Arabidopsis thaliana: one gene and its partners. The protein of the gene in region 4 interacts with the protein of the main gene of each other region in a biochemical or structural test. Each region holds a gene or a part of one and is shown on either strand. Other genes may lie near its edges.

The links.
Region 1: the proteins of HDA6 (region 4) and FVE form a complex in vitro, tested with the Arabidopsis thaliana proteins (2 studies listed by BioGRID).
Region 2: of the proteins of HDA6 (region 4) and HIS4, one has a biochemical effect on the other in vitro, tested with the Arabidopsis thaliana proteins (one study listed by BioGRID).
Region 3: the proteins of HDA6 (region 4) and HOS1 form a complex in vitro, tested with the Arabidopsis thaliana proteins (one study listed by BioGRID).

The regions. Positions count from the first base shown.
Region 1 is NC_003071.7:8,454,001-8,460,164, reverse strand, and holds FVE (Transducin family protein / WD-40 repeat family protein), read right to left. Parts: upstream 4,410-6,164; 5' UTR 4,160-4,409; coding exon 3,876-4,159; intron 3,521-3,875; coding exon 3,457-3,520; intron 3,364-3,456; coding exon 3,277-3,363; intron 3,168-3,276; coding exon 3,105-3,167; intron 2,932-3,104; coding exon 2,866-2,931; intron 2,722-2,865; coding exon 2,647-2,721; intron 2,510-2,646; coding exon 2,434-2,509; intron 2,361-2,433; coding exon 2,165-2,360; intron 2,055-2,164; coding exon 1,973-2,054; intron 1,893-1,972; coding exon 1,819-1,892; intron 1,745-1,818; coding exon 1,633-1,744; intron 1,548-1,632; coding exon 1,473-1,547; intron 1,369-1,472; coding exon 1,301-1,368; intron 1,217-1,300; coding exon 1,117-1,216; intron 1,032-1,116; coding exon 930-1,031; 3' UTR 523-929; downstream 1-522. UniProt on the Arabidopsis thaliana protein: Core histone-binding subunit that may target chromatin assembly factors, chromatin remodeling factors and histone deacetylases to their histone substrates in a manner that is regulated by nucleosomal DNA.
Region 2 is NC_003071.7:12,328,841-12,332,021, forward strand, and holds HIS4 (histone H4), read right to left. Parts: upstream 1,220-3,181; 5' UTR 1,115-1,219; coding exon 803-1,114; 3' UTR 505-802; downstream 1-504. Other genes in the region: AT2G28725 (forkhead box protein G1), read left to right, coding at 1-103. UniProt on the Arabidopsis thaliana protein: Core component of nucleosome. Nucleosomes wrap and compact DNA into chromatin, limiting DNA accessibility to the cellular machineries which require DNA as a template.
Region 3 is NC_003071.7:16,611,128-16,618,625, forward strand, and holds HOS1 (ubiquitin-protein ligase), read left to right. Parts: upstream 1-1,649; 5' UTR 1,650-1,813; coding exon 1,814-1,903; intron 1,904-2,039; coding exon 2,040-2,430; intron 2,431-2,715; coding exon 2,716-2,850; intron 2,851-2,940; coding exon 2,941-3,116; intron 3,117-3,604; coding exon 3,605-4,006; intron 4,007-4,124; coding exon 4,125-4,283; intron 4,284-4,387; coding exon 4,388-4,879; intron 4,880-5,297; coding exon 5,298-5,435; intron 5,436-5,649; coding exon 5,650-6,287; intron 6,288-6,512; coding exon 6,513-6,675; 3' UTR 6,676-6,995; downstream 6,996-7,498. Other genes in the region: AT2G39805 (Integral membrane Yip1 family protein), read right to left, coding at 106-274, 462-542, 642-699, 1,173-1,226; eIF6B (Translation initiation factor IF6), read left to right, coding at 7,332-7,341, 7,437-7,498. UniProt on the Arabidopsis thaliana protein: E3 ubiquitin-protein ligase that mediates ubiquitination and subsequent proteasomal degradation of the transcription factor ICE1. Acts as a negative regulator of cold signaling pathways.
Region 4 is NC_003076.8:25,314,984-25,320,205, reverse strand, and holds HDA6 (histone deacetylase 6), read left to right. Parts: upstream 1-1,858; 5' UTR 1,859-1,978; coding exon 1,979-2,518; intron 2,519-2,935; coding exon 2,936-3,376; intron 3,377-3,470; coding exon 3,471-3,613; intron 3,614-3,871; coding exon 3,872-3,962; intron 3,963-4,059; coding exon 4,060-4,190; intron 4,191-4,302; coding exon 4,303-4,372; 3' UTR 4,373-4,700; downstream 4,701-5,222. Other genes in the region: AT5G63120 (P-loop containing nucleoside triphosphate hydrolases superfamily protein), read left to right, coding at 43-269, 792-1,025, 1,121-1,239; AT5G63100 (S-adenosyl-L-methionine-dependent methyltransferases superfamily protein), read left to right, coding at 4,783-5,222. UniProt on the Arabidopsis thaliana protein: Responsible for the deacetylation of lysine residues on the N-terminal part of the core histones (H2A, H2B, H3 and H4). Might remove acetyl residues only from specific targets, such as rDNA repeats or complex transgenes.

The DNA of each region.
Region 1 (6,164 bases), on a different chromosome or scaffold from region 4:
TCGTCGGAAAAAGAAAAGAAAATGTAGGTCTAAAAACCCTAATTTTATGAAATACTCCGATTCGTCTACTTGTGATTGATTAGCTTCCCTACCTTATTCCTCAAGCAATACATTGATTCATGTTTCTCTCTTTAGTATCTTTTGGAACAAAAACTTCTTCGTTTGATCTTCTCTGACTGATCTTGACGGTCTCATGTAGGCTTTGTGATTGGATTTTTAAAGTCTCTAGCTCATCAAGAGACTTCATAAAGCCTATTAAGCGGGAGGACCATTAACGTTAAGCCCAATAAAGTAAAACATTATCATATAGTTTAGTTTTATGAAATGACCAGGTGATCTATGTATGATTTGCAATGGTCTGATTGTTTAGTGACTGTTAATACTTAAAATTTCTTCAAAATCCTACGAATAAATCTGTGAATTGAAAATCACCTAATCCTACTGCTAAGCGTGATTAACAGTTTTTTTCTAATGAAAACGACAATGCAAACATTATTTAAGATGCGACGAATCATCAAGAACCCAGTTTCCAAATTTTGCGATGCTTATTACTATATTGTTTTATAATGACCCCTTCTGCTTTGCATTTGAACATCAATGCAACTATTTTTTTTGTAGCCGGGTTGGTCTCGACTAGTTACAGAGAAGGAATCATTAGGTTCAGGCCAAGTATTGAAACCTTAAACCAAAACACATAAAGTTGGTCCGATTTGATTAACATCTCAGTTGAACAAAACAGCACCTAAGAGTCTGATGAAACAGGATCATGAACCAGAACCATGTACCCCTAACTGATATGGAAAGGTCCTAAAAGCTACCACCAATATCTCAAAAGACAAACCAGCCTTACAAAAACCAAGACTCCTCGCTAAAACCCGCATTAGTTTACCATAGGCGATAGATAGATAGACAATGGGTTTTCTTTACTCTTAAGGCTTGGAGGCACAAGTCATAACATGCGACTTGAACTTCTCCAATTCTGCCACGACTTCTTCTTCTGGTCTGTAAATCAAGTCACTCATCCGCCATATCTGCCATAGAAGAAAGTATAAACAACATTTAACGGTATGTCAATAAAATTGCTTATCAAGGTACCAAGAAAGATTTCAAGGTTACCTGCAATGTTCCACCTCCACCAGTAGTCTCACAGTCATCAGAAACACTGACAATAGTCCAAGGGTCTGAAGCATTCCAGTGGAAATCAACAACTTTGTCCCTAATATGGTTTATAAACAAGGGAACTTAGAAGCAAGTAAAATGAGAAAGCAATCAAGAAAAATCAAGATAAGTCTTTAAGAACCTGTGACCAGCATGCTGGAAGAAGAGCCCAGCGGGGCTTTTAGCTGCACGATCAGACTTCTTACTGACCTGATGGTTAATTAAACAAACCAAACATGAGTACAATGAATATGTTTCAGTGATGATAGTGAAGAAAGATTAATTTTAGACATCTGAGTGAACTATGTACACACCCTGTCATAATCCCAGATGTTCAAGAGACCATCTTCTGCAGAGCTCCCAAAGACGGATGACTTATCAGGAGACCACTGAATTGAATAACAAGATAGTGTCAGTGGGTTAAGAGATATACTTCATACAAAGAAGGAAAAAAAAAAAAAAAGTTGATTATACCTGAACACAAAGAACAGCAGCTTTGTGTCCCTCAAATTTGTAAATAGGCGAACCAACTCCATTAGCGGTAAGCTTCCTACGATCAAACAACCGGACAGTGTTGTCTGCTGACCTGAAATATTCATCAATTTCTTAATTAGATACTAAGTATGTATTAATCATCTATTTGTATGTATTTCTCCATACCCTGTCAGGATCAGATTGTCGTCATGAGGATTCCAATCAACACAATGAAGATCAGCATCATGCGCTTTTTCAACCTGGAAAACAAAAAAGTAAGATATAATATCAAAAGGAGGTAAATCTTCAAACTTTTGATAGGATTCAAAAGATAGAGTACCTTCGTGACAGGGTTTGTGCCAGTTCTCGCATCCCATAGTATAAGGCAAGAATCATCACCAACACTGCAGAATTCTTGTGCACTTCACGGTATAAAAGTTCACCAGAAGTATTATTAGAAAATCATGAAAATATCTGCAGTATGCATAAACAAACACGATATCAATAGAAGGAGTCTGTTCTAAGAAGTTACCTCGTCGGGCTGAATGCCACATCTTCAACTGTATCTTCATGGCCATGATATACACCTCGTGGGCCAACAGTAGGACTCTCATTCTTATCAGTACCTTCACCAGTCTGTTTGATGATAGATCCAGATGATTTGGAATCTGTCCCAATCGTTGTGATGTGATCTTGGATACTCCACAAAACAACTGACTTGTCCTTGCCTAAGAGAAGAACTTTTGTATGAGAAACTGGCAAACCACAGGATTGGACTCTACAAATTACAGAAACACAAACCTCCGGAGAGCACAAAGGGTTCCGTTGGGCACATGGCAAGAGCAAATTCAGCATTATCTTGGTGCCCAGTTAGTATCTGCATGAAAAATGGTTCATTCAGATGATGCAAACAAGAAGCACTATTTAAGAAGATATCAAAGAGATTTATCACTTCCAATGATGAGAAACAAACAAGAATAAAGCATAAAACAACATTCTCAGAAGTGGACATACCAAATCTGGACGGGAATTTGCAGCTCCAAGCACAGCATGACGGTTTGGTTGGGTTTCAACATCCCAAATGAGAACCTGAAATCAACATATTGTATTTAGATAACTCTGAAACTGGACATATGTCCGAACAAAGGATGCTCTTTGACTGCCAAATACAGAAATATGAAACCGACATATTTCAAGTTGCTATGACCATAACAAAATAGAAGCAGCACTCACATCAGGACTGTCGGTGTGAGTAGCAACAATCTTACTATTCTGTGGGAGTTCCCTGATTCTGTTAACCTGCAATTGCAAATTAGTAATGAATACACATCAAAATTTACTTTCACCAACGTGCCAAACGAATAACTTCATGGACAGATGAAACAGGGATGCAGATACAATTAACAAACCAAATAGAACTAAAAAGAACAATGTCAATACAGAAATATCTCAAGAGTGGGCAGAATTCACACCTCTCCAGGGTGAATGATGGTCTTGTACTTCTTCACAAATGGAGAACGTGCTTCTTCATTGAACTGAGAACACATTTTCAGAAGATAGTATATAAGTGTCAAACATGAAACCAATTGTAGTGTGGAGTAGGATATGGAAAGGACACAAGCTTAGTATTAAACCACATAATACCTGAGAAATGTGCTCTGCTGCAGCAACCCTTGGCTTAACAACTTCACAATTTGCTATGACCAAAGTATTGGGCACACTTCCATCAGTCTGGTGACACAACCAAGAAAAATACAAATAATACGATGAGAAGTATATAAAGAAGATGAGACAACAAGATACAAGAGAAAGCTAAAAACTTACTTGCTCTGAGAGGTACAGACGCTGGCGATTCTTGTAGGTTGCTTGCTCAAGCTGCGGACCCCATCTATAAAAAAATCAAACAACAATTCACCAAATGGAAACTCTTAGCACAACAACTAAAGACTTCATCAGATATAAACACTCAGAGAAACTGAAAATTCCTCTTAGTCATTAGTAACCAACAAGGTAATCAATAGTAACAATTCATGAATAGAACATCAGATATATCAAGGTATGAAGACAGAGCCACATCCAAAACCCTAACTAGAACAATCGCAACAATCTCACTTAAACCCAGAAATCGAGAAAATGTATGTGTAAGATTTTACTAAATTCATTCCAAACATGAGAATGTTCAAAGCTAAGAAACGATTACGAAACGAAACCCTAGAAGGAGAGGAAAGGAGAAAGGGGGAGACCTGCAAGAGAGTGAAGGCCAGACGAGGTTATGGTTAGCGAGCCAGTCGTAGAGAATGGGGACGAGACCTTTCCACTGAGAGTACTTCTCGTCAACACTCGGCGACTGCTGCGTTTTCTTCCCACTTTCTTTCATTTTAACATCGCTCTGTTGCTGAGACGACGGCGTCTGAGAATCTTCCTTGGTTTTAGGTTTCCGACCTCTCTTCTTCGGCCCAGAAGCTCCGGTTCCTCCGCTCGGTGTCGTTGCTTGAGGAGACACTGCTGCTGCTTCGTCGCTCTCCATTTTCCTCTCTCTCTTTTTAATTTTTCTTTTTTGGTCTTTGCTTTCAGTGTCTCTATATCTCTCTCTCTTCTGCTTTACAAATACAAACAAAACAACCACCGTTTACCATTTTTACTTTGGACATAATACCTGAATCCGAAAAAACCGATCTGAACCCGATCCAAAAATCCCAATCCAAAAATCCCAATCTAAATTCGAACCTGAAATTTTCAAATATCCGACTGAATCTAAACTTCAAAACCTGAAAAACCCGAACCCGAACTGGTACCCAAACATATCTTAAATATAAATATAACTAAAATATTTATATTTATATTTACATATAGACAATATTATGATTTTTCGGATATTTTAGTTACTTTTATGTATTTTTAAATATATTCAAGCAAAACTACTCGGGTTGTTTAGGGAATTTTTGAAATTTTCAAATAATTTAATAGATTCGGACACAAAATTTTGATATTTCAATATATAACTAAACCCGAAACCGAACCAAACCCGACCCGGAATCTTGAATTACTCGAACGGATCTTAAAATTCTAAACCCGAAAAACTCAAACCCAAAATACCCGACCGAATATCCAAACACCCATAATTATTATTTTTTAATTCAGTAAAATAAATACTTTATTGAATAATAATAAAAATTACGGATGAAATAATTAACAGTATAAATTAATTAATATAAGCGTCTCTTACATGGATTACTAACTTTATAATTCATATCCAAACTTGTTGTTCTTTCTTGTAGCTTCTTCTGAAAAAAAAAAAAAGAATAGATCCTCGTTGCATTTTGAAAAGTGATTTAAGAAGATTTCAATGTTTGTTTAATACTTGAACAATAAAGTCCAATATTGTTCAGAAGTATATGACTAAGCTTAGACTTGAACCCTAAGTTTGTTCTTGGTGTCTAAACTTAAAACATTCATTTCATTTGTTCTCTGCTGGCTAAACCTATAAAATTTACCTTTCATTTTATCTTCTTTATTTAAAACATAAAATTGTACTATTTCATATCCCTCTTTGTTCTATGTGAAAAGCTCAATTTTCACTCATGGATTCGACACCAAATAACTTTCTTTGGGACATTGAAAGCCTTAAAATATCTCGAGGTTATGATTTACATGTAGTTGTTCCAAGCTTGAGGCTTTTTCTCAATCCAGCATGGATTAATCTGATGAATATGGTAAATCCGAAAAAAACCTAAACGTCTGTTCGCTCTATTTAATATCTTAATTTTTTTTATTATGATTATAGTTTAGAACTTAAAAGTTATGTATAATCATGTCATTTTAAAATTTCGCTTCAAATCTCTATAATTCTTGGCATTGCACTTCTTATATCACTAGTTTTGACTATTAAGAAACGTTTTGTGCATAAAAATTCAGATTTTTTATGATCAACAAATTAAATAGTGTTAGAAATTTTGTTGTGATTATGAATTTTTTAAAATTCTAACACAATTTATTTGGTAGAGGTGCAAAATAGGTATTAAACAAAAATTTTAGATCTGCACAACATATATGTATACAAATATGTATATGAACTATGCAAATAAAAGAAAAAAAAAACTATTACTAAGATTACTAGGGAAAAATATTGACTCAAATCATCTAATTTATGTTTCTCATCTTACTAATATTAATGTTGATAGTATAGTGGTGTTTCATATATTCTCTAATTGCATATTACATATACATATTTGTATATTTACACCTATTTTCCTATTAACTTAATAAATAAATATTATTTTTTTTGGGACGAAATAAATTGTATTATTATCGTCATAAAACTGATAGGTACAATGAAATTAGTAACGCTAATGAATTTGTCGTCCAAAAATTAAAGATTTGAATTTTTTATACACAAAGTTTTTCGTGGTAGTTAGAGACATGTGATACAAGCATTTAAGATATTATGCATGTAAGGCAAACATGATTTTTAATCAAATGTCAAATATCATGAGTCAAAGATATACTAAACGAAACATAATATCTAGCTTTTT
Region 2 (3,181 bases), on a different chromosome or scaffold from region 4:
ACCAACGATATTCGCAGGAGTTATGGTCATTGCTTCTGTTTCTTTATTACGATCATGTTTTGGTATTGAAGGTGTTGTAGAAGAAATCGAAGAACAATGTTGATGACATTTTCGTCATATCTATGGGTTATATGTATGTAATTGATATTAATTAATCAATAAGGGTCCTTAGCTCAGTGGTAGAGCAATTGACTGCAGATCAATAGGTCACCGGTTCGAATCCGGTAGGGCCCTTTCTTTTTTGTTTTAGAAACTGTTTTCTTGTTTATATTAACCGTTCATTTTATTTGATCTGACGGTGATGAATGTATCGTTACAAATATGTGTTGGATCGATGACGTGTCATTAGATTTCACAAAACTCTGAATAATTTTCACAACAAATTCTTACACTAGGGAATGCGAAAATGATTTTTTGCAAGAAATATTATAAGCCAATTAAGTGTATGAATCTTATATATAAAGCTAAGAACTTTAAAACGCTCACATTGAGTCCATATTTGTCATTCGATTCTTATACCTCTAAACTTTAAATTGCTCACATTTAGTCCTTATTTGTTTTTCAATCTTCAAAAACATAGTTCAATCAATTCCTTTGATTAGTTTTCGATTGATAATCCTTTACCATGAATTTCAGAGATTAAAGAGTAATTAGAGCAAATGGTACTTATCATTAATCCATTACAATGCTGCCCTAATTACAACACAAAACGAAACCCTAAAATTCAACCCAATTTCTGGAATTTCTTGATCGCAAGACTTAAATCATCATCATTCACCAGAAAACCCAGATCTCAAATTGATCAACCACCAAATCCATATAGAGTTCTTCCTTGTCTCTTCAAGGCATAAACAACATCCATAGCAGTCACCGTCTTCCTCCTCGCATGCTCAGTGTAAGTAACAGCATCTCTAATCACATTCTCCAGAAAAATCTTCAACACACCTCTCGTTTCTTCATAGATCAATCCACTGATTCTCTTCACACCTCCTCTACGAGCAAGACGACGAATCGCTGGCTTTGTGATTCCTTGAATGTTGTCTCTTAGAACCTTTCTGTGTCTCTTTGCTCCTCCTTTGCCTAACCCTTTTCCTCCTTTTCCTCTTCCTGACATTTTTGTTTTTCCAGAAAGTTTTAAGATTTGAGTTTTCTGATGAGTAGAGAAGAATTTATTTTTTATTTATAAAGAAGATTGTTTGGGTTAGAAAATGAATCGTGACCGTTCGTTTTATTGTTTGATCGGACGGTCAAAGATAACGATCCGTGAGAAAGGTTTATGAGATATATGGATCCTTGATTATTAATGAATCGACGGTTGTAGATTGGGTTATTATGTTAGTCACGGATTGTGGATTTTTGATTTTTCCTTTTGAACCAAGTGAGTCAACCGGACCGGTTATATGTACTAAATTACAATGGATATCGAAAATAATTAGTATAACTATGGAGTATATTTTACTTTTACTTTTCAGCTACCATAAAAAAAGGTAAATTCTCAGATCTCTTTTTTTACTATCCATATATTTTAAAAAATTTAAAAATTGTTTTTTTACATTATTATTATTTGGACAAGTTGAATGCACTTGGAAAAAAAAAAAAAACATATTCTACTATAAGGGTTTGAATCCAAATGTGGTATAGTGGATATGTTGAACATAACTCCATTGAATTAATAGAAACAATTACTGTGTACTAACCGTAAGAAGAGACGAGACTCTATTTTTGTTGGAATGTTCTGGTTTGAAGCATTTTTACAGGACAACGTAAGGATGTGTGCTTTAGCTAGAATGAAGCAATGTCGTTGTAAGGAGGTGACGATTATTATTCTAACTGAAAACCATATTGTTATAAAGCCCTTGAGCTCCAAAGCTCTTGTATATCTAGTCTTTTTGTTTTCTCCTTTTTTTCTATAACTCAAAAACTCCACTGATGGTAAATTACAAGGTGTTGTTCTTGCTGAAATGTACTAGGATCATATCGATCTCGAAAAACTCGTAAAACGTGTGTTCTTGATTTAATCTCCAAAGTGAATACCATGAGTGTTTGTCATAGAATTCTCAACAAGTTGAAGACTTATCTAAATCTTGAAGAATGAACTCAAAATTTCTGTTATAAGATTTCTTTCAACTACAAAATGATATGCAAAATATTGGTATTAGCTTCATACCATAACTAGACGCACAAATCTTGATGAAAGAAACTTGCAGCCAAGAAATTCCTTCATGAATCGCATTCAACACAAAGCTCATCAAAGATCAAAACTCTGCTCTTCTCCAATGGTTTTTTCTTGCAAAGTCAACTTGTTAAGGTATATTTGGATCGGTCCTTTACCAAAATGAAAGAAAAAAACTATTCCGCTGCCGGGTTTGAACCCAGATTTCATCATTGAAATAAACATGTGTGCTACAGCGGATTGGTTGAAAGTATCTCCAATTAACTAGTATATACCCTGTCTAATTAATACTCTCTACCTATCACGTGTTAAGACCGAACACATATTAAGAGAAAGAGAGGAGAGCCACTAGTTTTGTTTAAGTGTTCTCTTAACAATGTGTGTTCTTGATTCAATCTTTTAAAAAAATGGTGTGAGTGATATATAATGTGGTTCTTTGATTGTACCAATTGACATATACTAGATTCATAAATCAGAAACTCAAACAAATACTCAGATTAAACACCACTATTAACTATTATCCGTTAATTTGACAAAAGAGTTTTGACTATCCCAATTTTCACAAGATATATGACTCATTCTGTCAACTAAGCACAAATCATCGTAATAACATCTTAGTAACAACATGTTAGTCGTATTTGGAAGAGATAAGCACTATCTTGATGGATTTAGTTGGTCCCACACTAAATCCGGAAATTATACAATTAAATCCGGGTATTGGGCTGCGCGAGATTTGTCTCGTCCTACTTGTGACCTCCCTTTTTAGGGACCGAGTGTTTTTGCACTTCAGGCACAAGTATGGAAGCTTAAAACTACGCGAAACCTTATGCATTTTGCGTGGCAATGTATCACGGGGTGTCTAGCCACTTGTCAAAGACTTGTCTACCGACATATTGGCACAGATAAAGGATGTCCTCGTTGCGGAGCGGAAGAGGAGACTATTAATCACATCCTTTTTCATTGTCCGCATTCCAGACAGATTTGGGCATTGTCACCTATTCCCACTTC
Region 3 (7,498 bases), on a different chromosome or scaffold from region 4:
GGCATGACTGAGCAATGGACCGATTAAAGAAATTCGAAAGAACTCTCTCATGGTAAGTACAATCACCAAGAAGAGTGAAGGAGAAAAAGGCATTAAAAGACTTACAAATCAGGGTTTGCATCAATCTTGTTGAAAAAATCTCCACTAGTAGGATATAAAGAGCTCATTAATCTGTTCAAAACAACGTCCGTGTCCACGTCGAAGTATTGGGTATATGAGTAGACATTAAAAAAGCCCTTCCAGTTGTTTGATGGCTGTTGTGCTGGTCCTTCTACTGGAGCAGATAAGATATATCACCATATAAGACAGAACAAGGTGAAAACAAAGGTATATAGGATCTTGACATCCATAAGAAAAACGAGGTTGACTCACACAAGTATTCTTTCAACCATTGTACTGATTCATGGTGACTACAGATAAAAATATCTCCTAAAAAAGGAATCTAAAAGGAGCATATATACCTGTTGGGCTCTCAAGAGTTTGATAACCCTTTGTATTGTTTCCTAGATTCGGTGGAAATATTTGCATGCTTGCAGAAGGGCCTGCAATAATGCAGAAGACATACAACACTCAATGTCTTTCACTACCGGAAAAGTTCTTTGCAAAAGATAATTCAAGCAGAAACTAGCAAAAGAACACACCTTCATTGACGCTTGCTATTGGTACATTTGTGCTTCTCTTGTCGTCGCTGATCACAGCCTAAGAATACAGATGTTTGTATCAGACATAATAACACGGGGATAGTCAATCCATTCACTCAAAACATTTATCTTAGCGGATTCAATCCAAAATGAAGCTATCATGCAAGCATTTAAACTCAAATACAGTTTTGTTTTTCATACGAATTGTCTCCTAAAATGGTGAAAAAACTTAAATAAAACGCCTTAACAAATATAGAAACCCAGAAATGCAAATAAGGAAATCGTCCATTGTTCTATGAGTGTGAAGACTTTAGGCATCATCGTGGACGCGAAAAAATATGACAAAAAAATCTGAAAAGTTTCAAAATTCTACTTCCTAATGTAACACTTGAGACAGAACAACAAACAAAATGATGGCATGAACAAAAAACGTTAATTTTCCCTTCACACAAACAAGGATCATAGAAAAACTCAATCAAAGAGCTTATTGATGGTGAAATGAAAGAAGCAATAGATGTAATATAGACTTACCGGAACTGAACCAAGCAAATGGCTTGATTGTAGATTAGCGAACGACTCATCCATCGATCAAAGAGAAAAAGATATCAAAGAAAAACTTAGAAGATAGGTTCTTCTAATCTCATTCAAAAATCGATAAGATCGGAAAAAAGGTCGTCCCTTTTTCTGAATTTTTAAGGTTTCTGGGTTTGCTTCTCCTCCTCCGTCGTCGTGGAAGCAATTGGGAAAGGAAGAGAAACTAAAGAAAGAACGATCCACGCGCTTTCTTAGCAAGTCGGTAAAACACGCGCTGTTCACTTTCGGACACGTGATTTGCCGACTTGGGCCCAGACAATCACAAGATTCACACAAGACTTCAAAAACAAAGGCCCATATTTAAATTTTGACCCGAATCGTGATTTGCCGACTTGGGCCCAGACAATCACAAGATTCACACAAGACTTCAAAAAGAAAGGCCCATATTTAAAATTTGACCCGAATTAAACAATCCGACTTGACCCGTTTGAGGAGAAATTCACTCAACAGTGTTTCCTCTCTTCGTCTTCCCTCCCGAGAAAGCTCAACGGAGCCCTAGACTGGTTTTATCACTCTCGCCAACACCAACCACGCTTTTTCTCTCTTTACCTCCATTTTTGTATTCGTCACCGGAGTAGATGGATACGAGAGAAATCAACGGTTTTGCCTCCGCCGCGAGATCGATATCTCTTCCTACGCAGCCTAATTACAGTAGCAAGCCTGTTCAGGTTCTTCCGCTTTATACCTTTTTATTTCTCCACTGAATTAGTTTAGCTCAGGTCTTAGGATTTCTAGGTTCAGCTTAAAAAAATGGGTTTTGCAGAGCTTAGAGTTAATTTCGAATTTATTGTTTGTAACTTACAGGAGGCGTTGAAACATTTGGCATCTATAAACCTCAGAGAATTATGTAATGAGGCAAAAGTTGAGCGATGTCGTGCAACAAGAGACTTAGCTAGCTGTGGAAGATTTGTGAACTATGTGTTGAATCCATGTGGTCATGCCTCCTTGTGCACAGAGTGTTGTCAGAGGTGTGATGTTTGTCCTATCTGTAGAAGTACGCTACCAAAATTTGGAGATAGACTTAGGCTTCGTCTCTATTATGAGTGTGTTGAAGCTGGTTTGATTTCCCGAACACATGAAGAGGCGTCACAGGATTCGGATGAGGATGAACATCAATTGGCAGCTGATGTTCATCGCCTTTATTCTCTGTTTGATGTTGCTATGAACAATAATTTGATCTCGGTGGTTTGCCATTGTATCCTTCAGTTGCATTTATGCTTGGTGTCTGATATATGCATTTAGTCTTTTAGTTTCCTGTTTGATACTTTCATGAATTTCTTTTAGATTCGTATGCTTGTGCTATTAGGAACTGTGTTTATATGGGGAGTTTTGTACTGATAGGTTCATGTATTTTTAGGTAGTTCTTGTTTCATGCTTGTCTCTGTTGGGCGAAATGTGCATAGTGTTTTTGTCATTCATTCTCTAAGAGGTATTTTATGTTGGATGCATAGTTGACATCTCCTTGACAGAAAATTAATAGATATCACCAATGTCTGTATGGATGAGACAGCTGTATCTAGTGATCCGGTCATTGCTTTCTTGCTGGATGAAGTTGTTGTCAAGGATTGGGTCAAGCGTACATTCCGGAGCACCTTAGCTGAACTTCAAGAAATCTGTATCCTTTTAGCTGTTAATATTTTTATGTTTCTTAAGACTGTATATTTGTGCACCGTAAGGTCTGTCTATCTTTAATATTGGCCCTCAGATAATCTTGAAACAAAAGAGATGCAAGCGTGGTTAGATAAACTCCTAAGGTGTTCCAAACAGGTGGCTGGCATATGTAGTGTGCTCGAAGTTATGGAATCAGCTTTTAAGGGTTCTGTGTCACCTCAGCTTCAAGATGTGCAGACGCTGAGAGAGAACATTGGTAAAACAAAGCAGGTCAGCCATGATTTCATTTCATTGATATCCAAACAGTTTTGCAAAAGTATGCTTAAATAACTCTCTTTATCCCCCTTAGAAATATCCGTTGTACATTGAAGTTTCCTACGTGCATTAATGTTTAGTTTGCCTCTGTCATAGAATGAGTTACTTGTTTTGTATACGGCTTGCAGTAAAGTTTGTACTGTAAAAGCTTTGCATTTAGATGTATGAAAGGCACGATAATGGTCTTCCATCATCAGCTTGGATCTGATTTTCTATCCCTAGCTTTGTGACTTTATTCTTCTTTTCTTTTTTAATGTCATTGCATATTAGTGAATGTAGATGGGGTATATGTAACCTATCTTTATATGACATACTGAATAGTAAATGAGTATAACCTTATGGCTTCTGACCAGAGAGTGTTTTAAATAGATCAGCTCTTTAGCTATTGGTGCAAGATCACTGAGCTTACGTGTGCTTACCCTATTCTTTTTATTTTATTTCAGCATTTGGACATAATGGTCTGGTGCATCAGACATGGATTTCTGGATGATGTGAGGTCTCGATATTCGAATTTCACATCGTGGAATGCACTGGTAGGGGAAAGAAAATCAAATGCAGTTAAGCGTGCATGGCCTGATGCTGTAGACCAGTCTTCAGATTGCAGTGTACAGAGTGCTTCCCTCTTTATTGAGGATGCTTTAGAAAATCTTGAGAGAGAGCCAGAATACAGTCAGGAAATAGGTGCCGACCTAGAAGTTGGACGTTTACAGAAGGATAAGAGATCATTTCTTAGGTCCAAAATAGAGGGAACTTCAGGATCTTATCCATTTGAGAATCTTAGAACTGCTGCTGACATGCTCTTTTTACATGGCGGTTCAGATTTGGTTGTTGCGAAGCAAGCAATTGTATCCTTTTGTCATCGCCTAGTTTCACATTACATTGCACTTTACTTTTAATGAATACTTGAATCAGGAAACATTCCCATGTTTTTCCTTTACGCTGGTTTCCTTAACCAGAAGATAGTTTCTTTACTACCTGTTTGATCGGCATTGGACTACCCCTGAAAAATATTGGAAGCACACTATAGATGATTTTGCTGCTACGTTTGGCATAACGAGGCATTCATTGCTGGAGTCTTTTGTATTTTATCTTCTCGATGATCACTCAGAGGAGGCACTCCAGGTATCTTTTGGCATTCCCAAGGAAAACTTATAGAAACGTGTATTTTATTGTGCCATACATTTATTAATTGGTGTAGCTTACAAACTTTCCAAATTATATTTCAGGAAGCTTGTAGGATTCTACCTGAAATATGCGGTCCAGAAACCTACCCCAAAGTTGCGCAAGTCCTGTTAGAAAGGGATAACCCTGAAACAGCTCTTATGGTCTTGCGTTGGTCTGGTCGTGATGGTGTATCAGAATTGGTTTCAATTGGTGAAGCTGTCACAGCTCTTCGTGTGAGAGTGGAATGTGGTCTTTTGAGTGAAGCATTCACATACCAAAGGACACTCTGCTTGAAAGTAAAGGAAAATAATTTGAAAAATGGAGCTGTGAAACATGCGTCTGATGATCTAGACATCTGGAGTTGGACGGAATGGATGGAGATACTTGTCAATGAATTCTGCTGTCTTTCTATTCGGAGAAACTTGGTTGATCGAATCATTGAGTTACCGTGGAACCCAGATGAGGAGAAATATCTGCACAGATGCTTATTAGATTCGGCAACTGATGACCCCTCATCAGCTGTGGGTAGTCTCTTGGTTGTCTTTTATCTTCAGGTAAGTAATTATATTTTCAAACTTTAAATAACTTCACTTGAACAATGGGCTGAGAATTGTTTTTCAGAACGAGAATAGCTTTAGCAACAGGCAAATAGATATTTAGACAGCAGCTTAAACCTCCCGAGCTTTAAGCTACATATTGAAAATTTTAATAAGGGATCTCAATGATGGCTCTGTATAGAATTAGCTCATTCTATAGAGACTGGTATATGTTCTCGTATTTGATGTGTGGCTTCAACAATCTTTTATAATTCGAGCTTGGTGTAGTCTGGGATGTTGGTTAACAAGCATGAAATTATTTGAACAACCAGGGAAACTGCATCACTATAGACCATGCTTATTTTCTGGAAAGTTATTATCTTTTGTATATGGTCTTTCTTTGACTAGAAATTACTGGTTGTTCACATTGCTGCAGCGCTACCGTTACATCCAGGCATACCAAGTCGATCTTAGGCTTCAGAAAATCGAAGAGGCTTTCGTATCCGACAATCAAATTGGGGAAGAAGTTATGTTCAGAATGCGATCACAGAGTCATTGGAGAAAAGAGTTAGTTGTAAGTATTTCAGCCAACTTTCCATGTACAAGTGGATCCTTCCATAGTTCCTTGTTAAAGGCTACATCCTCACATTTGCGTTTTAGTGCTTAATAACCTGTTGATGCTTGCAGGATTGTCTAGTATTCTGAAACTTGAATGTACAATATTACTTGATACTGGCTTTTTTTAACTGGACATTTAAACCTCCCGTGTCTCTGCTCCTTTGAAACAGGATAGAGCCATAGATATACTTCCAGTAATTCAGCAGCAGCAAGTTAGATCTGGACAATTTTCTGAGATGGAAGATGCCTCTGAAGGAGCAAAAAAATCTGATCTTCCTGATGCACCTGACATGATTACTTCTTCAGTTCCCTTTGCCACTACTAATTCCGTTTTTCTCCAAAGTGCTAACAATGCCAGAGCTAGAGAGCCAGTGGCTAATAATGGCAGTCCTTTTCAACCTGGTCATATGATAGGAAACGCGTCCCATGATCTTTCACATGGAAGGTTATTTACAAACGCAAATAGAGGACAAAAGAGTGAAGTTAGAAGCGTAACCAAGAATCTGAAATTCGGTGAAATGTCAACTCCGTTCAAAGATCTAAATAGAGCTCGTGGGAACAGCCAGCTCCAAGGGAAAAGGACTGAAGAATCCTCTCCAGAAGTAAATGTTGATAGATACATAGAGAATAATATGAGCTCTCCTTATCTCCGCCGAATCACAGCTAACAATCCCGTGACAGTGAAATCTAGCAGCAACCATCTCAATGGATCTTCACAGAAACCGGAATCCACCTTTTTTGGCACAAGGATGCAACCAGACAAAGATAACTTTGTTGATTTGGATGATCCAATGGACATGTCTTCGAGGTATTCCTCTCTTCTTTATCTCTTAGCCATTTGTTCCTTTCTGAATCGTGCCATTAAAGTAGAGGACACTGGTATTGTTTGGTATAAAACTATTGTTACCGTTTGGTTTGAAAATAAAGTCCAGTTTGGTTTCAGTCTAAGGAACTTTGTTTGGTTCTTATGTCCACGGCTTTTAGTCTTATATTGGATGAGCTACATATCAATTGTGTGTATTATGAATTGCAGCTTAAAGGACAACAACAACAATGTCTTGGCCACGGAGAGCAGAAATAACAGTGGTGGATTGAGATGGCGGTCAGATGAAACAAGCGATGACGAAGATGAACTGACTAGTTTTGGTTCCATGCCGGTGAAGGGAAGGAGGAGACGTAGATTCGCAGCAAGATGAAATGAAACAAACACTCGAAAAGACCATCATCAATTATGTTTAAAGCATAGAGAAAGAGAGAGAGAGGTAGAGCAAGTTGTGTAAAGAGGGGAGAGAGACTGTTACAGTGAGCGTTGTTCTCCTGTTATTTTTTGTGCTGAATTTTGTGTATTTCTTCTCTAGTCTACCTTTTTTGGACAGTTATTTTAAAGATATCATTGTGATGAGCGGAGTGATATTATTATTATGAGTATGTTTAATTTCTTATATTGGTGCAGCTGATTGTTGAATCGTAGAAGTTATAACAACACATTGAGATTAAATCATTTTCTTTTTACATTCACAATTTCCTCTCAAAATTTTAATTTTTAACTTTTTTATTATTTACCAAAACTAATAAATGGAAATAAGTAGCATAAGCTTGTTCCAAGTTTCTGATATATAAATAGGGTTTTCGGAAGAGAGAATAGGGTCTCTTCCTATCGTTCCGTCACTTTTTGTTCCGATTTGTCGACAAGGTAAACCTTAAAACTAAATCTTTCAATATAGCATAACCAATGATCCGAAAACCTAAATCTTTCATTCTCTGTTTCTGCCTTGGATCTGTATTGAAATTCATAATCTCATATTAGGTTTTCGTGTTACTTAATTCCGCAGGTGTTTGTTGGATCCATATCATGGCGACTCGTGAGTTTCCCTTAAGCTTTAGCTTTTTATACGATGCTTTCTTTTCAAGTTGCTTACAGGATTGTTCTTTTTTTTTCTGTTCTTGTTTTTGGCAGGTCTTCAATATGATAACAATAATTGCGAAATTGGTGTCTTTTCCAAACTCACAAATGCTTAT
Region 4 (5,222 bases):
CTTATATGATATGATACTTATGCCTTTTTTCTCGTTTGATAGGCTCCTTACACTACTTAAACAGTTAATGGATGGGAGTAAAATCCTAATTTTTGTGGAGACAAAGAGAGGGTGTGATCAAGTGACTAGACAATTGAGAATGGACGGATGGCCAGCTCTTGCCATACATGGTGACAAGACCCAATCGGAAAGAGACCGAGTCTTGGCAGAATTTAAGAGTGGACGAAGCCCGATAATGACTGCCACTGATGTAGCAGCAAGGGGACTTGGTAGGATTAACTGTGATACACAATAGGAGAGATTATACTTAGAGCATTTCGTTTTCTTGGGGTTTTAAAGATAATAAAAAAAGTCGCCTGGCTGCCGCTTTCCACAGTTTCCTCTGGTATTAGGGAAAAAAGCACATAGAAAGAAAAAAGGAGCTTCTTTGAAGAATTTGTTTCCTGCATCCATCTCCCGGGCATGGAGCTGATTGGTTTTTGAGCAGCCTGGGCGACTGACACCTGCATGCATTAATAGTGTTATAACGCCGTCCCAAACACTCCTTATCCCTGCAAGTTAAGGTGGGCACATTTACTTGGGAAAAATGTGTTGCTCTTAGTTTCTTGATCTTTCCAGATCTGCAGTTGTAGGGATAAGGGGTTCTTGTTCTCTATCCTCTCCTTAGCTAGGCTTTAAACACCAAACTCATTTACACAAAGAAATTTCTGTTCTTCTTCCTGCATTTCATCTCAGTCTATGATTTACTTCTCAACTGTGTTCCTTCTTTCTTCTTTTGTTTTGTTTTACAGATGTGAAGGACATTAAATGTGTGGTTAATTATGATTTCCCAAATACATTGGAGGATTACATCCATAGGATTGGTCGAACCGGGCGTGCAGGAGCTAAAGGAATGGCCTTTACATTCTTCACACATGACAATGCTAAGTTTGCGAGAGAGCTTGTCAAGATCCTTCAAGAAGCTGGTCAAGTTGTACCTCCTACTCTCTCCGCACTAGTCCGATCATCTGGTTCTGGTTATGGAGGTGAAACCTCATTTCTCTTCTCTCATTTGATGAGTTCAATCAATCTTGCTAAATTTTGGTACGAGGATCTGATTCAATTTTGTTGATTTGTTCAGGTTCAGGTGGTGGAAGAAACTTCAGGCCAAGAGGAGGAGGACGTGGTGGTGGGTTTGGAGATAAACGGTCAAGATCGACTTCAAACTTTGTACCTCACGGTGGAAAGAGGACTTGGTAAAGAGAATCCCATCATTTTGATTCTATGAGAAAACCTTTAATTATGATGATGATGATCAGCGTTTGGTTTCGACTAGAAGTTCTTTGTCGTAGAGAACAAACATTTACTATATAACTATTTAGCTGATTTCGCTGCTTCTTCTTCTTCTTCTTCATGATATTTCTAAACATTTTGCCTTTTTCTTAATTCTATCAACTAAATACACTTTACTACTTTACTCTCAAGTCAACCGTAACACTGTAATGAAACTTGTTTTTAAAAATCGGATGTGGATTATTAGGTTGGGAGATTCAAGTATTGCGAATAGAATTTAGACAAATGTAAGCATCTATAACATCTAGAACATGTATATCTTCTCTTTTTTCCCAACAACATCTAGTTACGAATCCTTAAGGTGAAATGTGTAAATAGATCATACTTAGCTAAAAAACCCTTTACATTTATTTGTCTAACATTGTCTACCATTAGGAAAACAAGTTAAAAATAATTCGCTATGTTTGAATCGAATTTGGAATTATATAATCGATCGTTAGTTTAACATTCAGTAATTATTAAAATTAAATTTTTAACGCAAAGATAATAATGTAAGTAATCATTAATGTGCGTGTATATATAAGCTGTGCCCACAACTCCTAGTAATGACTTTCTCAGGCATTGTTGACACAAATTTTGCTCTGAGTAAAACTTGGGAATAGAGAGAGACTCTGAGTGAGAGAGAGATTCTGAGTGAGAGACGGAGATGGAGGCAGACGAAAGCGGCATCTCTCTGCCGTCGGGACCCGACGGACGTAAGCGGCGAGTCAGTTACTTCTACGAGCCGACGATCGGAGACTACTACTACGGTCAAGGCCACCCGATGAAGCCTCACCGGATCCGTATGGCTCATAGCCTAATCATTCACTATCACCTCCACCGTCGCTTAGAAATCAGTCGCCCTAGCCTCGCTGACGCCTCCGATATCGGCCGATTCCATTCGCCGGAGTATGTTGACTTCCTCGCTTCCGTTTCGCCGGAATCTATGGGCGATCCTTCCGCTGCACGAAACCTAAGGCGATTCAATGTCGGTGAGGATTGTCCTGTCTTCGACGGACTTTTTGATTTTTGCCGTGCTTCCGCCGGAGGTTCTATTGGTGCTGCCGTCAAATTAAACAGACAGGACGCTGATATCGCTATCAATTGGGGCGGTGGGCTTCACCATGCTAAGAAAAGCGAGGCTTCTGGGTTTTGCTATGTAAACGACATCGTGCTAGGGATTCTGGAGTTGCTCAAGATGTTTAAGGTAAATGCTCCATTCCTTCTTTATGATCTCATCATAGAGAACTTCTTCATGTTCTTCTGAAATTTTTAGGGTTTAAGCTTATCTTGAGTGGTTTTTCTTAAATCTACCTGAAACCTTGAAGCCTTGTGTGATTATCGAATGAGCTTTGATCCTTTCATGTTCCTAAACTGCATATTACCTTTAGAATCTCATGTTAGGTCAAGTGCATCAGGTGTTTCTGATAAGGATGTTGATTTGTTTGAGAATGGTTTTCTACATTGCCTCTTTGTTTTCATCGTCTGGTTCTTTAAGTTTCTCTAATTAGGATTCCGTTGCTTTGTTAATGTATTCTGATAGCATCATTCAAAATGTTGATTGAGTGTGGAACGATGTTTCCATTGCTTACATCTTAATGCTTTCATCAAATTTTGTTTGCAGCGGGTTCTCTACATAGATATTGATGTCCACCATGGAGATGGAGTGGAAGAAGCGTTTTACACCACTGATAGAGTTATGACTGTTTCTTTCCACAAATTTGGGGACTTTTTCCCAGGAACTGGTCACATAAGAGATGTTGGCGCTGAAAAAGGGAAATACTATGCTCTAAATGTTCCACTAAACGATGGTATGGACGATGAAAGTTTCCGCAGCTTGTTTAGACCTCTTATCCAGAAGGTTATGGAAGTGTATCAGCCAGAGGCAGTTGTTCTTCAGTGTGGTGCTGACTCCTTAAGTGGTGATCGGTTGGGTTGCTTCAACTTATCAGTCAAGGGTCACGCTGATTGCCTTCGGTTCTTAAGATCTTACAACGTTCCTCTCATGGTGTTGGGTGGTGGAGGGTATACTATTCGAAATGTTGCCCGTTGCTGGTGTTATGAGGTCTTTTCCATCTCCTTTGCAGTTCTTCTATGTTTTTTGATAATCATATAGGTTTTTGTTCTTGAAAGTGTTTGTTTCTGTTGCCTCATCGCAGACTGCAGTTGCTGTTGGAGTAGAGCCGGACAACAAACTCCCTTACAATGAGTATTTTGAGTATTTCGGCCCAGATTATACGCTTCATGTCGACCCAAGTCCTATGGAGAATTTAAACACGCCCAAAGATATGGAGAGGATAAGGTAATATCTCCTACTTTCCATTTTTATGGTCATTGTACTTCAGTTGCCACTGAACTTCTAGCTAGTCCACTCTAATTTAGTAATTTTAACATGCTAATGATGCTCCCTCGAGATTGTAATTCTGTATGTAACATATGAGTTTATCTTTGTGCCGGTTCCAAATAGTTAACGAAAGCTTTACATGTTCAGTAGCTTACCTTCTTAGCCTTGTCAATGGGATATATTGAACTTAGAGAAAGTTACTTTTTGAAATTTCAGGAACACGTTGCTGGAACAACTTTCGGGACTAATACACGCACCTAGCGTCCAGTTTCAGCACACACCACCAGTCAATCGAGTTTTGGACGAGGTAATTTTTCAGTCATCCATTTCTCTCTTTGATGTTTTTAGTTGCGTTCTGTCCTATTGACTACCAACTTATTAAATCTGCTATCTCAAATCCTTAGCCGGAAGATGACATGGAGACAAGACCAAAACCTCGCATCTGGAGTGGAACTGCGACTTATGAATCAGACAGTGACGATGATGATAAACCTCTTCATGGTTACTCATGTCGTGGTGGCGCAACTACGGACAGGTAATTAAAAACCTTCCTCCTACTCAAATCTACCAACACTTGAATTGATCCTCATTGTCTAACTTCTTAACAGGAGATAAATAATTTAATTGATGTCTCTTAAAATCTACAGGGACTCTACCGGTGAAGATGAAATGGATGACGATAACCCAGAGCCAGACGTGAATCCTCCATCGTCTTAAACCAGCTTGATGGTTTGGTGTCTCTTTTGCCATATGATAATGTCGGCAGATTTAAGAAACAAGTTAGGGGAATGAATGATTCTTTGATGTTTTTTCAGCAACCTTTTGAGTTCTGTGAAAACGCTGCATTGATTAGAACAGTGACAACTGACTAGTATTTTGGCCCAAGTTAGAAAATCAGAATATGTGAAAAATGCAAAGAAACTTTTTAAAAAAAATATGGGCTTTTACTTCTTCTTTTTTTTTTACTTTCTCCGAAGTTGTTGTTACCAAACCGAAGAAAACCGATTGCAATAGACCCTAAAATTAAACCATTGAAGCTGTTACTAAACCGAACGGATTTAAACAAACCACTGAAGTCTCATCATCACCCAAATTCATCGAAATTTTCCCGGTAACTAAGAACAGGCATGGCCAGGGAGCTTGTGTCTCTTCAATACCTCCGACCTCCACTTCACATTTCTCGTCAATTTCTAAACCTCTCTTCTCCTCCTTTAACTCTCAATCTCCGGCCAAAACCTCCGCAAAATCCAATCTTTATCCGAACCGACTCTCACCGCAACAAAACTTCCGCCGACGATAACGGAATCCCAGCAGAGGACGTCAAAACCATCGCCAAATTCAAATCCCGTCACAATTACATCAGAGTCATCGAAGTTTCACGAAAAACCAATCACCCACTCGCTGGTTCTCGTCTCCTCCTTCTCGATAATCCCGGTAACATCCATAGCATCTCTTTCCTTCTTAAAACCTTAACCGATAGTTACTTCGACGTTTTCGCTACTCTGCCTCCGATTATACCTCCCGGACCAATTGGTATTCTCGGATTCGGAGCTGGTTCAACAGCTAG